Mus musculus: one gene and its partner. Each later gene encodes a partner of the first gene's protein in a complex. Links are inferred from orthologs where the notes say so. Each region holds a gene or a part of one and is shown on either strand. Other genes may lie near its edges.

Region 1 (4,337 bases):
GGCTCTATCTTCCAGGTTTCCTCCGGGTTTCCTGCCCAGCTCCAAATATGCAGACTCCATTTAGATGACCCATTACAAACTGTGTGGAGGAACGGGATCTAGAGCTACTGAGAGCACCGTGGCCTCCATGTCCTCCTTTTGGAAGGGCTTTCCAATATCAGGGGTGCATAAGAGTCCTTTGTGGCTGTGCATTCTGCTTCCCCTGTATTAGCTGTATATTATCGATCAGTGTATTCTTCTGTAAAACGGGAATGATAGACCCACTGTACTAAGCGTATACGGCTGTTTTGAGGATACATCAGATATGTCAGGTAGCAAGCAGTTAGTGAAGGTTAAATTCCCACCCTTGTTACAAGGTCGTGCTTTTGGTCCACAATGCTTGGATGGGCTGTTTTATAATGTAATGTAATGTATCCTTGTACTAGTCAGGCTTTGGGATGTTGTAGGTTAGTGCTCACAAGTGCCATGATTCACAGGGAGGCACAGAGGGGTTACTCAGGTTCATCTTGTCCAGGACTACTTTGCCTGGGGTTATCCAGTGTGTTTATACCACCTGGGAGACAGAATGAGCCAAGTCCAGGCTGTGCTTCTTGGGACTGAAGACAGGGTTCCCACCCAGGGGAGAATTTTAAGGCGGGGCCCTCTGGGACTGGGGACACCGGGAGGTCAAACGCCTGGAGGAGGCGGTAGTACTCATAGGTCTCCTATCCCAGCCCTGACCTGGGCTTGGCAAAGGACTCCAGACTGGATCAAGGGTCCCAGGTTCCCTGGTAGCTGGCACAGGAGAGCGCAGGCTGCTGGTGCCCCTAGGACACCTTTGTAGAACGTTCGTTTCCTCGACTCGCCCGCCCAGACCTGGGAGAAGCAGTACCCAACCACCTTGCAGGTGCTACAGGAAGCGCAAGGCGAGGCGCCCGCGTCCCCCGCGCATAGCAGCTTCGATTCCCCCGAACGTGGGGCTCTGGAGCTCAGTCCCCGGCGGCGGGGTCAGCCGGCCGCAGCAGCCGGCGCGGCGCAGCGCCCGGGGCGCGAGTGTGCGTGTGCCGGGAGCACGGCCCTCCCCGCGGCAGCCGCAGCGCCGGCGCCTCCCCCTCCCCCGGCGCGCACGGCCCGTCCCTGTCCCCGGAGGCGGCCCGAGCCGCCGCTCAGCAGCCTTGCCTTCGCCTCCCGAGCCTCCTGCCGCCCTCCCTCCCCTGGCCGGGCTCCAGGGTCCGACGTCCCGCGGCTCCGAGCAGGAAAGAGCTGCGATCGCGCACGGAGGCGGGAGGAGGCGGCCGGGTGCGGGGCGGCCGCGCTGGAGAGAGGCGCGCGGAGACTCGGCCCCCTCGGCGCTCGCTCGCTCGCTCGCTCGTTGGCTCCCCGCCTCCCGCACTCCGCTGGCTCCCACCCCTTCCCGGCGTGATTGATCCGTCACGGGCGCCGCCGCCGCCGCCGCGGCCGTTCTGAGCGAGCAGAAGCCGGAGCCGAGCCGGGGCCCGTGCCGGCGCCATTGCGCGGGAGCCGCGGGCAGAGCTCGGCGCCGGGCGGCGGGCCGGGCCAGGCCATGCGGGCCGAGTGAGCTGGCGCCCGCAGCCCGCGGCGCGGCATGGCTTCCCCGCCGAGCTCCGGGCAGCCCCGGCCGCCGCCGCCACCGCCGCCGCCCGCGCGCCTGCTGCTGCCCCTGCTGCTGTCGTTGCTGCTGTCGTTGGCTCCCGGGGCCTGGGGCTGGGCGCGGGGCGCCCCCCGGCCGCCGCCCAGCAGCCCGCCGCTCTCCATCATGGGCCTCATGCCGCTCACCAAGGAGGTGGCCAAGGGCAGCATCGGGCGCGGCGTGCTCCCCGCCGTGGAGCTAGCCATCGAGCAGATCCGCAACGAGTCACTCCTGCGCCCCTACTTCCTGGACCTGCGACTCTACGACACCGAGGTAAGTGTCCAGTGACCCATGCCGTCGAGGCTGGGGGCGTCGAGGAGGGACAGAGCCGTGATTGTCTCCTCCTCGCTGGCTGACCGCGTACTGGGTCCATCAGGGTCTCACTGGGCTTGGCTGGAGCAGGTGGGACCCTGATCTGTGAGCACCTTCCACCTCTGTGTGGGTGTGGAATGGGGGTCTCCTTTGACCAGAGGAGGAGTTAGAGATGTGAGAGGTTGGACTCCCAGAGGCCTGCGCCGGTTGCCCCTGTCCGGTGCTGCTCCTAGGGTTGTCAGGTGCCAAGTAAGAGGAACACGCACACTGATTACAAACTGGGCCAGCCACAGCTGGACAGGCTATGGGGCCTATTCCCAGACCCTAAAAATTCCAAGCCGCCCTTTTAGGGCTAGAGGGCTCCAGGACCCTCGGGGGCCAAGCTTCGGGCAGGACCGATCCTGTGGTGCACTTCTGCAGCTCAGGGCTCGCGCGCGCCACGGTCAGCCTCGGAGCCCGGAGGGTTCTGCAGCGCTGCTGCCTGGATCTGTCCAGCGCTGGCAGTAGCTGGAGCAGTTTTGGGAGACTCCCCTTCCCCCTCTCCCCGCCTTGGGTTAGTTGCTCATAGAGTGGCTTGACAGGTCTAGCCCGGGACGTGTGGTGGTGTCCGATCGCGCTTCCACTTTTGTTCAGCAGCTGCTAACACCGCTGAGCAGGTGCACACTTGAGGCGTTCGTGTCGTGGGAGCCTAGACTTGGAGTGTGGCAGAGGGTTCCCCTCTGGCCTTCTTTTCTGAGCAGAGCTGGAGAACCAAGACCTTTCCATCCCAAACCCCGATCTCACGCCCTCATGTCTAGGTTTCCAAGGAGCCTCAGCTCAGACCCTGACTGCCCACTCTGAGGCTAGGACGAAGAGAGGGCCTGGAAGAGCGATCAGGAATAAGGACGGGTTTGCGAGTTTTTCCGGACCCAGGGAGCCCCTACTCTCCGGTCCGCAGCCTCGAGAGATAAGATTCGGCCTGAAGGGGGCAGTGATTTCCTTTACTGAGAGCTCTGTTGGCGCCTCTTGCATCTCTCCCAGCAAAGCCAGGGCGAGCTCTGGACCCTTGCTTCCCGGGCTCCCCCAGCGCACCTTTGCTGGAGCTCCCGGGCAGACTCCTCAAGAAAGGAGCATCCCCCTGGTGGTGTAACCTGGGCTTGGCTTCTTCCCCTGCCTGACCCCTTTTTTATACCCCCTCCCGGAAAAGAGCATAATGTAGATTGTATCTCATTCCCCGCCTCCCCCGCTTCACCAGTGAAGCAGCCTGCTGTTCTGCTCTGTAAATAAAAGGTGAAGGAATTGGTGGCAGTTGGTAACGGTGAGCTCAGGTTGCTGCAGGCAGAGAGGCTCCTCTGCCTCGGGAAGAGGCACACTGGGTGGCTGTACAGGGCTAACCGTGTGTGAAATCACTTTCGATTGACGTTCCTGACGACCTCCTTTTTTCTCCCTCCCCCCTCAGTGTTTCAAGTTCTTTAGGGGTACCTGTCTGGCACAAGCACATTGAGATGGGTATGCATTTATGCAGAGGCATATATCCTTGGCACACTTTCATGTGGCTTCCACCCATATTCTGGAAGGGACAGGGACAGGGACAGGCCGGTTCTTAGAAGACAAAAGCAATTGTAGACAGGGCTGCCCTGTATACATCTTCACTATGTCTTGTAAAACCTTTTCGAATGCTTCCTGAGAAGTTTCTCATTAGTCCATTTGTGGTAGCAGAGGGATGGGCGCTTGGTTGCAGGGTGTGGGCCAACGCTTTTACATTTTTTTTCTCAAGTGTGTCTTGGTGGCTTTCTGAGTGAGAGGACCCAAAGTCAAGAGGATGAGGCAGTCAGAGGAGCTTTGGTTGGTGGGAATATTTCAGGCACAGCACTGGGTTTCCCTCTAATGTCAACTGTACCTGATCTGGGGCTTAGGGTTGAACACTGCAGAAATAGGTTATCCCTCTGACCTCCTGACCCCGCCCACCCATGACCTTGAATTGGACACTTAATCTCTAATGCCTCTAAATGCAGGTGTTCAGATCTCAAGAGCAGAGTGGTTAGCCATCCTCTGTCGGATGGCGTCCAGGGGCTTACAGAGAGATGCCAGCAGGCTCCACTGCCAGCACTCTGTCTGGCACGCTGTAAGCACTCAATAAATAACTGCCTCCCTTCCTGCACTTCCATTTGGTGTGGATTCACCAGTGAGACACTATGGCTTTAGGTGGGATAAGTCAGTCACTGCTAAAATATTAAGAATGCTTCTTTCTCCTGCTTGGCCTTACAGTCTTTAAGAGAGTCAGGGAGGTTACTACCAGAAAAGAGAATTCTGGCTGACAGTCAATATATCACCTCGTGCATGAAGTATCACATTTGGGAGAGTGCCCAGGAACTATAATTACTCCCCCTCACCCCCCCCCCCCCACTAACCTGTC
Region 2 (4,498 bases), on another chromosome or scaffold:
TTGGCAATCCTCAGGGATCTAGTTCCTTTTAGATGCATCTTAAACAAAGTTCAGCTTAATTAAGCCTGCAATGAAACTCCAATCTCAGTAGAAAATGTTAAAGAACCAAACAACAGATTTGCAAGACCCATAAAAGTAAATATCAGACCTGGGGGAAGTGGGGTGCTTTTCAGCAGTCTGCACTGCCATCTAGCCAAGACCATCTCACTCTGTACAAAGTCCATTTGTGTTCAGAAAGCCACTAATGAAAGCAAGCCTGCAGCAATCAGCTTAACAGACCCCAAGAGTTTAGCTGAAAGGATTGGCAGGAGTCCTTCATCCATTCTGACTCTGCAAAACCTCCAAACCCTGTGAACCAACAACAACCCCACTTTCACAAATCACTATGCAGGAAAAAGTCACATATGCTTCCTTAGAAACTATTCCAACATCATTGGTCCCTTCTGACTTTTAAAATCTCTGACTATCCTGTAACTTCATTGGAAAAGAACCAGATTCCTCCGGGATAAAAGAATCTCCCAGTAAGGCTCTGAAAGAACTGAACTGTATGTAGCATCTAGGACTCTACCTATAGTTTAGCATAACTGTAATCCCAAACCAGTATTTGTGAAGAGAACTAATACACACAAAAATAAACAGAAGCTACTTACGATAGAAGACGTACTCAGTATAGCTCGACCAGATCTTATCTTCTGTATACTGGTTGACAAAAGATGCTGTAACCGAGGAGTTACAGGCCACCATGTGGAATCCACACTCTGACAACATATCAAAAGCTCTTTCCAGATGTTTAAACTTGAGATAAAATCTGGAGGTGTATCTTTCTGGAGCTCGGTCGGGGTCTCTACTTTCATTCAAAGTTTCTCCAAAGACTTCTTTTGCCAAGGAAATTCTTCCGCAAACCAAAATCCGGGGGACTCTCCGGAACTTGGCATCTGCTTGCCCCTCTCTGCCCAAGGTACAGGATCCCCTGTAACCCACAGTAATAAAACCCCACTTGCGGTCGTGAGGAAGCAGCGAAGAGGGGGGGCAGATTCTCGTGTCGCTTCCTTGGGAGGCATCTTCGAAGTCACTGTGGCAGAACTCATCCGGGCTTTGCTTGACATCCTCGGGGGCCAGGAGTTTGACGAGGTCAGGGAGCTGGAAGTACTCAGCTTCTCTTTTCAGCCTTCCTCTTTCTGGAAAGTGATCAGGCAGGACCACCTGCCTGTCCCTGAGATAGTCCAGAATATAACGGAACAGAAAGCCATCTCTGTCAATGAAAAACCTTCCCTTGGAGTCCTTGGCTAGATCGTTAGCAGTGTCTCTCTTTGGGGAGAACATTTTCCACAGGAGAGAATGGGGGATGCTTATTAATGTGGAATGGCGAGTGAAGTAAACCTGGCCGCCAACATTCAGCTCTATGACTTCAGGGAAGGAGTTGGGAACAGCAGCCCCCTGGTCCCGAGGATAATAACGGCTACAGTTCCCACTTAGAGCCATTGTCCCTTTCTTCTGCAGCCTCCTGGAATTAAAGGTGCAATCCAACTGAGTTACAGCCCTAGACTTTGCATCCACGAGTGAGGTAAGATAAAGATACTAACTTTTCTTTTTAAATCACCCCTTCTTACCCTGGTTTTGTTTTGGTTTTTATTCTCCCAACAAAGCAGATTTTAGGAGAGTCCACAGTTGAAATAATGCTGGAGGAGAAGTTAAAAGCTGGCTGATAGCGAGCTCTTACTTCACAGGATGTAATAATCGGCTCCTCTACATTCAATCTTCCATTAGGCTCTGTAGGCAAGAAGGCCAAATGCCCAGTTACTCAGAGGTCTGTCTAAGAGAAAAGAGAAAAACGATTTCCTCAGACCCAGAATGAGTCAGAAAAGGAGAGACCTCTGGGGAGAGTAGAGAGGGAGAGAGGGGGGCAAAATGACAGGGAAGAGGGAATATTATTTTTACATAAGCAGCCTGCACCTACGGAGTTTAATCACTCCTTAACTGAGTGAGTTCTTCCCTAGGGGTGTATCGAGTCTTTAAGTTTATCCACATGCCACTGTCTCCAGCAACTGCTGTTCAAATCGATCCTGTTTGCAAATCTGATGTGAAAGGCATATGCAGTTTTCAACTTCCAAAGAGACCCGTTTTTTTTTTTTTTTTTTTTTTTTTTTTTTTTTTTTTCCAGCAGGACAGAGAAAGCAGTGAGTCTCTGCGCTTACCTTAGCGAGTGAGTGCTGGAGACTCAGTTCTTGCGAAGAAATAACCTTTTCCAGAGCAATCAGAAACCACAGCCACACACTGAGCCTGGACGTCTTGTCAAATCCCAAACAGGTAAAGGACAGAGGTATCGATGAAAAGTGTCAAGAGATTGGTGCTCTCGGAAAACAATGATTCCACACTTAAGCTCTAGTAGGTGTACGTTTCTATGTGTGTATGAATGGGTGTATGCATTCACATCTAATCTCTAGCTAAAACGAATCGGGGGGGAAAAAAGTTGAACCGAGAGGATGCTGAGTCGAAGAAGTGGAGCAGAGGAAAAAAATATATATATTCAACCAAAGCTTCCGTAGGAAAAAAAGAAAAAACGAAATCCAAACCTTATAGAACAGATAAATCCTTTGCACCTGGAAGAGTTGCAAGAGGTACCTGGACTTAGAGGCATTCAGAGAGCCCAGAGGCAGGGCGACAGATAGATGCGCCCCCCAGGGTTGCAGCAGCCACCCCACCTGCAGGCAAGGGCAAAGGGACGCCCATGTCCCCGCCAGGTGGGAAGGAAAAGCAGCCGGGAAGGCGAGAGATGCCTGCGGGGCTTGGGCTCCGAAGCTGAGAGGTCCCACGGTGCCAGGAGCAGTTCGGATGCTGTTGTGTGAGCAGTGCAGGCAAGAAACCATCCAGGGAAATGACTATTACATCATCTTAAAGGAATAGGGCTTGGAGAGAGCGGAGGCAGCTCGGAGTCACGTCCTCGGCGGTGACAGGTTGCCAGCACTGACGGGGACGTGCGCTCGCGGTGGGCACGGGACCAGAGGCGCTGGCTGCTGACACAGGGCGGGGACGTTGCACGGTACAGGGGCCCCCAGCCTGTGGTCTGGAGTTTGCACAAGCAGCTTCTTCCTTGGTTGTCCCTCCACCGCAGCCCCCTCCCCCTATCAATTACCCTCCATCCTGGCTGTGATTTTCTTTTGAAAAAAAAAAAAAAAAAACCTTCGGAGGAACTCTTCAAACGCGTGACTCTGCAAACAAACGGGCGGGCGCACTTCTCCTTTTAAGCCATTTTCCCTTTAATCCTATGGAATGTTCAAGTTACAAGTGTTTGTAATTTTTAAAAACATCCTTGGATTACAGTCATACTCAGTCAAATACCTTTTCCCCTTCATTCCATCCACCAATACACACACACACACACACACACACACACACACACACACGAGAACAGGATTAAGGATGCTCTTTCAAAATTCAACTATCCATAAAAAACTAGGAGTTTTAGCAGTAAGTCATTATCTTGACTCACCTGAAAGAAACTGCCTCCTGCAACCTGTTCTGAGGCTGCCTCCTTACTGAGACTCTTGAATGTGCCTGCCCATCCCAACCCATCCCAAGAGTACTCCCGTGGAAGACACGCCTGCCTGCTAAGAGAGATTTTACTCCTGTCCCAGCGGGCTCCCTTAAGTGCATCATTAGAGTTTCAAGAAGGCATTTCCAGGGCAACCTAATACACTAACGAAGTGCTTCCAGTTGAGCCTGCCAGTCAATAATGGCCCAGCCAACAGCTTACAGTAACTCCGCCATTTCCCCTAAAAATATGCAATGTCCTGGGCTCACATCTCTGATAAGAACACACTTATTCGTCAATAAGGTGAAGCACACACCATCCCAAACAACTGATAATTTAAAAGGTTAAAATCAAAAATGGAGGGAAATGGAGGAGATTCCTGTGTTCAGTGCCAACTTTTGCCCCATGAATTAGCTTGAAGATCTTTCAACAGCAGACTGAAATGTGTGTGTGTGTGTGTGTGTGTGTGTGTGTAACAATCTTTTCTTTCAATAATCATTGGGTTACTGAACACATTTGGAATATTAGCTCACTCTCGAACACCTGATTATATTTGACTTTGCTGCTTAAACTAATGCATTAACCTGCTCTCTGGCCTCCAACGCCTTGATTTTAAAGCTGGACCAATTAAGGAAATGTTTATGTGATGCGCTTATATCGCCATCTAGTGTCCAAAACTATCAGGACAGTTTGTTATCTGGAAATTTAGCTAAGTTTAAAAATGTTACCTATTTTTAAGTTTTTATAGTGAACTGAATTTACTTTGTATTCATTATTCACCATGACAACAAAGTAAACATTTCATTTTCACCATGTTAGAGATAAGAGTAGGTCTGAGTCTATGCAGACTTCAATACTGGTTGGGGTGAATAAGAAAGTAAGTGTATGCTTGGGCTTTTGTTTCTACCGTTCATGTTGAGACAGGCTGACCTCAAACTTATTAAGTATCCAAGGTTAACTTTGACT

What was found.
Region 2: the proteins of Gabbr2 (region 1) and Kctd16 are in contact, whole or in part, in a crystal structure (PDB 6M8R), measured with the Homo sapiens proteins. The link is inferred for Mus musculus from reciprocal best matches to the Homo sapiens genes GABBR2 and KCTD16. Residues at the interface, in NP_005449.5 of Homo sapiens: Ile882, Asn883, Ile888, Gln889, Arg891, Leu892, Ser893, Leu894, Gln895, Leu896, Pro897, Ile898, Leu899; in NP_001357415.1 of Homo sapiens: Asn30, Gly32, Gly33, Gln34, Val35, Tyr36, Asp64, Leu65, Ala66, Lys67, Asp68, Ser69, Arg72, Phe74, Gly79, Phe80, Arg83.

The regions. Positions count from the first base shown.
Region 1 is NC_000070.6:46,988,674-46,993,010, reverse strand, and holds the start of Gabbr2 (gamma-aminobutyric acid type B receptor subunit 2 precursor), read left to right. Parts: upstream 1-1,296; 5' UTR 1,297-1,585; coding exon 1,586-1,903; intron 1,904-4,337. UniProt on the Homo sapiens protein: Component of a heterodimeric G-protein coupled receptor for GABA, formed by GABBR1 and GABBR2. Within the heterodimeric GABA receptor, only GABBR1 seems to bind agonists, while GABBR2 mediates coupling to G proteins.
Region 2 is NC_000084.6:40,255,345-40,259,842, reverse strand, and holds the start of Kctd16 (BTB/POZ domain-containing protein KCTD16), read right to left. Parts: upstream 2,845-4,498; 5' UTR 2,196-2,844; exon of another isoform or gene 2,162-2,195; intron 1,814-2,161; 5' UTR 1,483-1,813; coding exon 651-1,482; intron 1-650. UniProt on the Homo sapiens protein: Auxiliary subunit of GABA-B receptors that determine the pharmacology and kinetics of the receptor response. Increases agonist potency and markedly alter the G-protein signaling of the receptors by accelerating onset and promoting desensitization.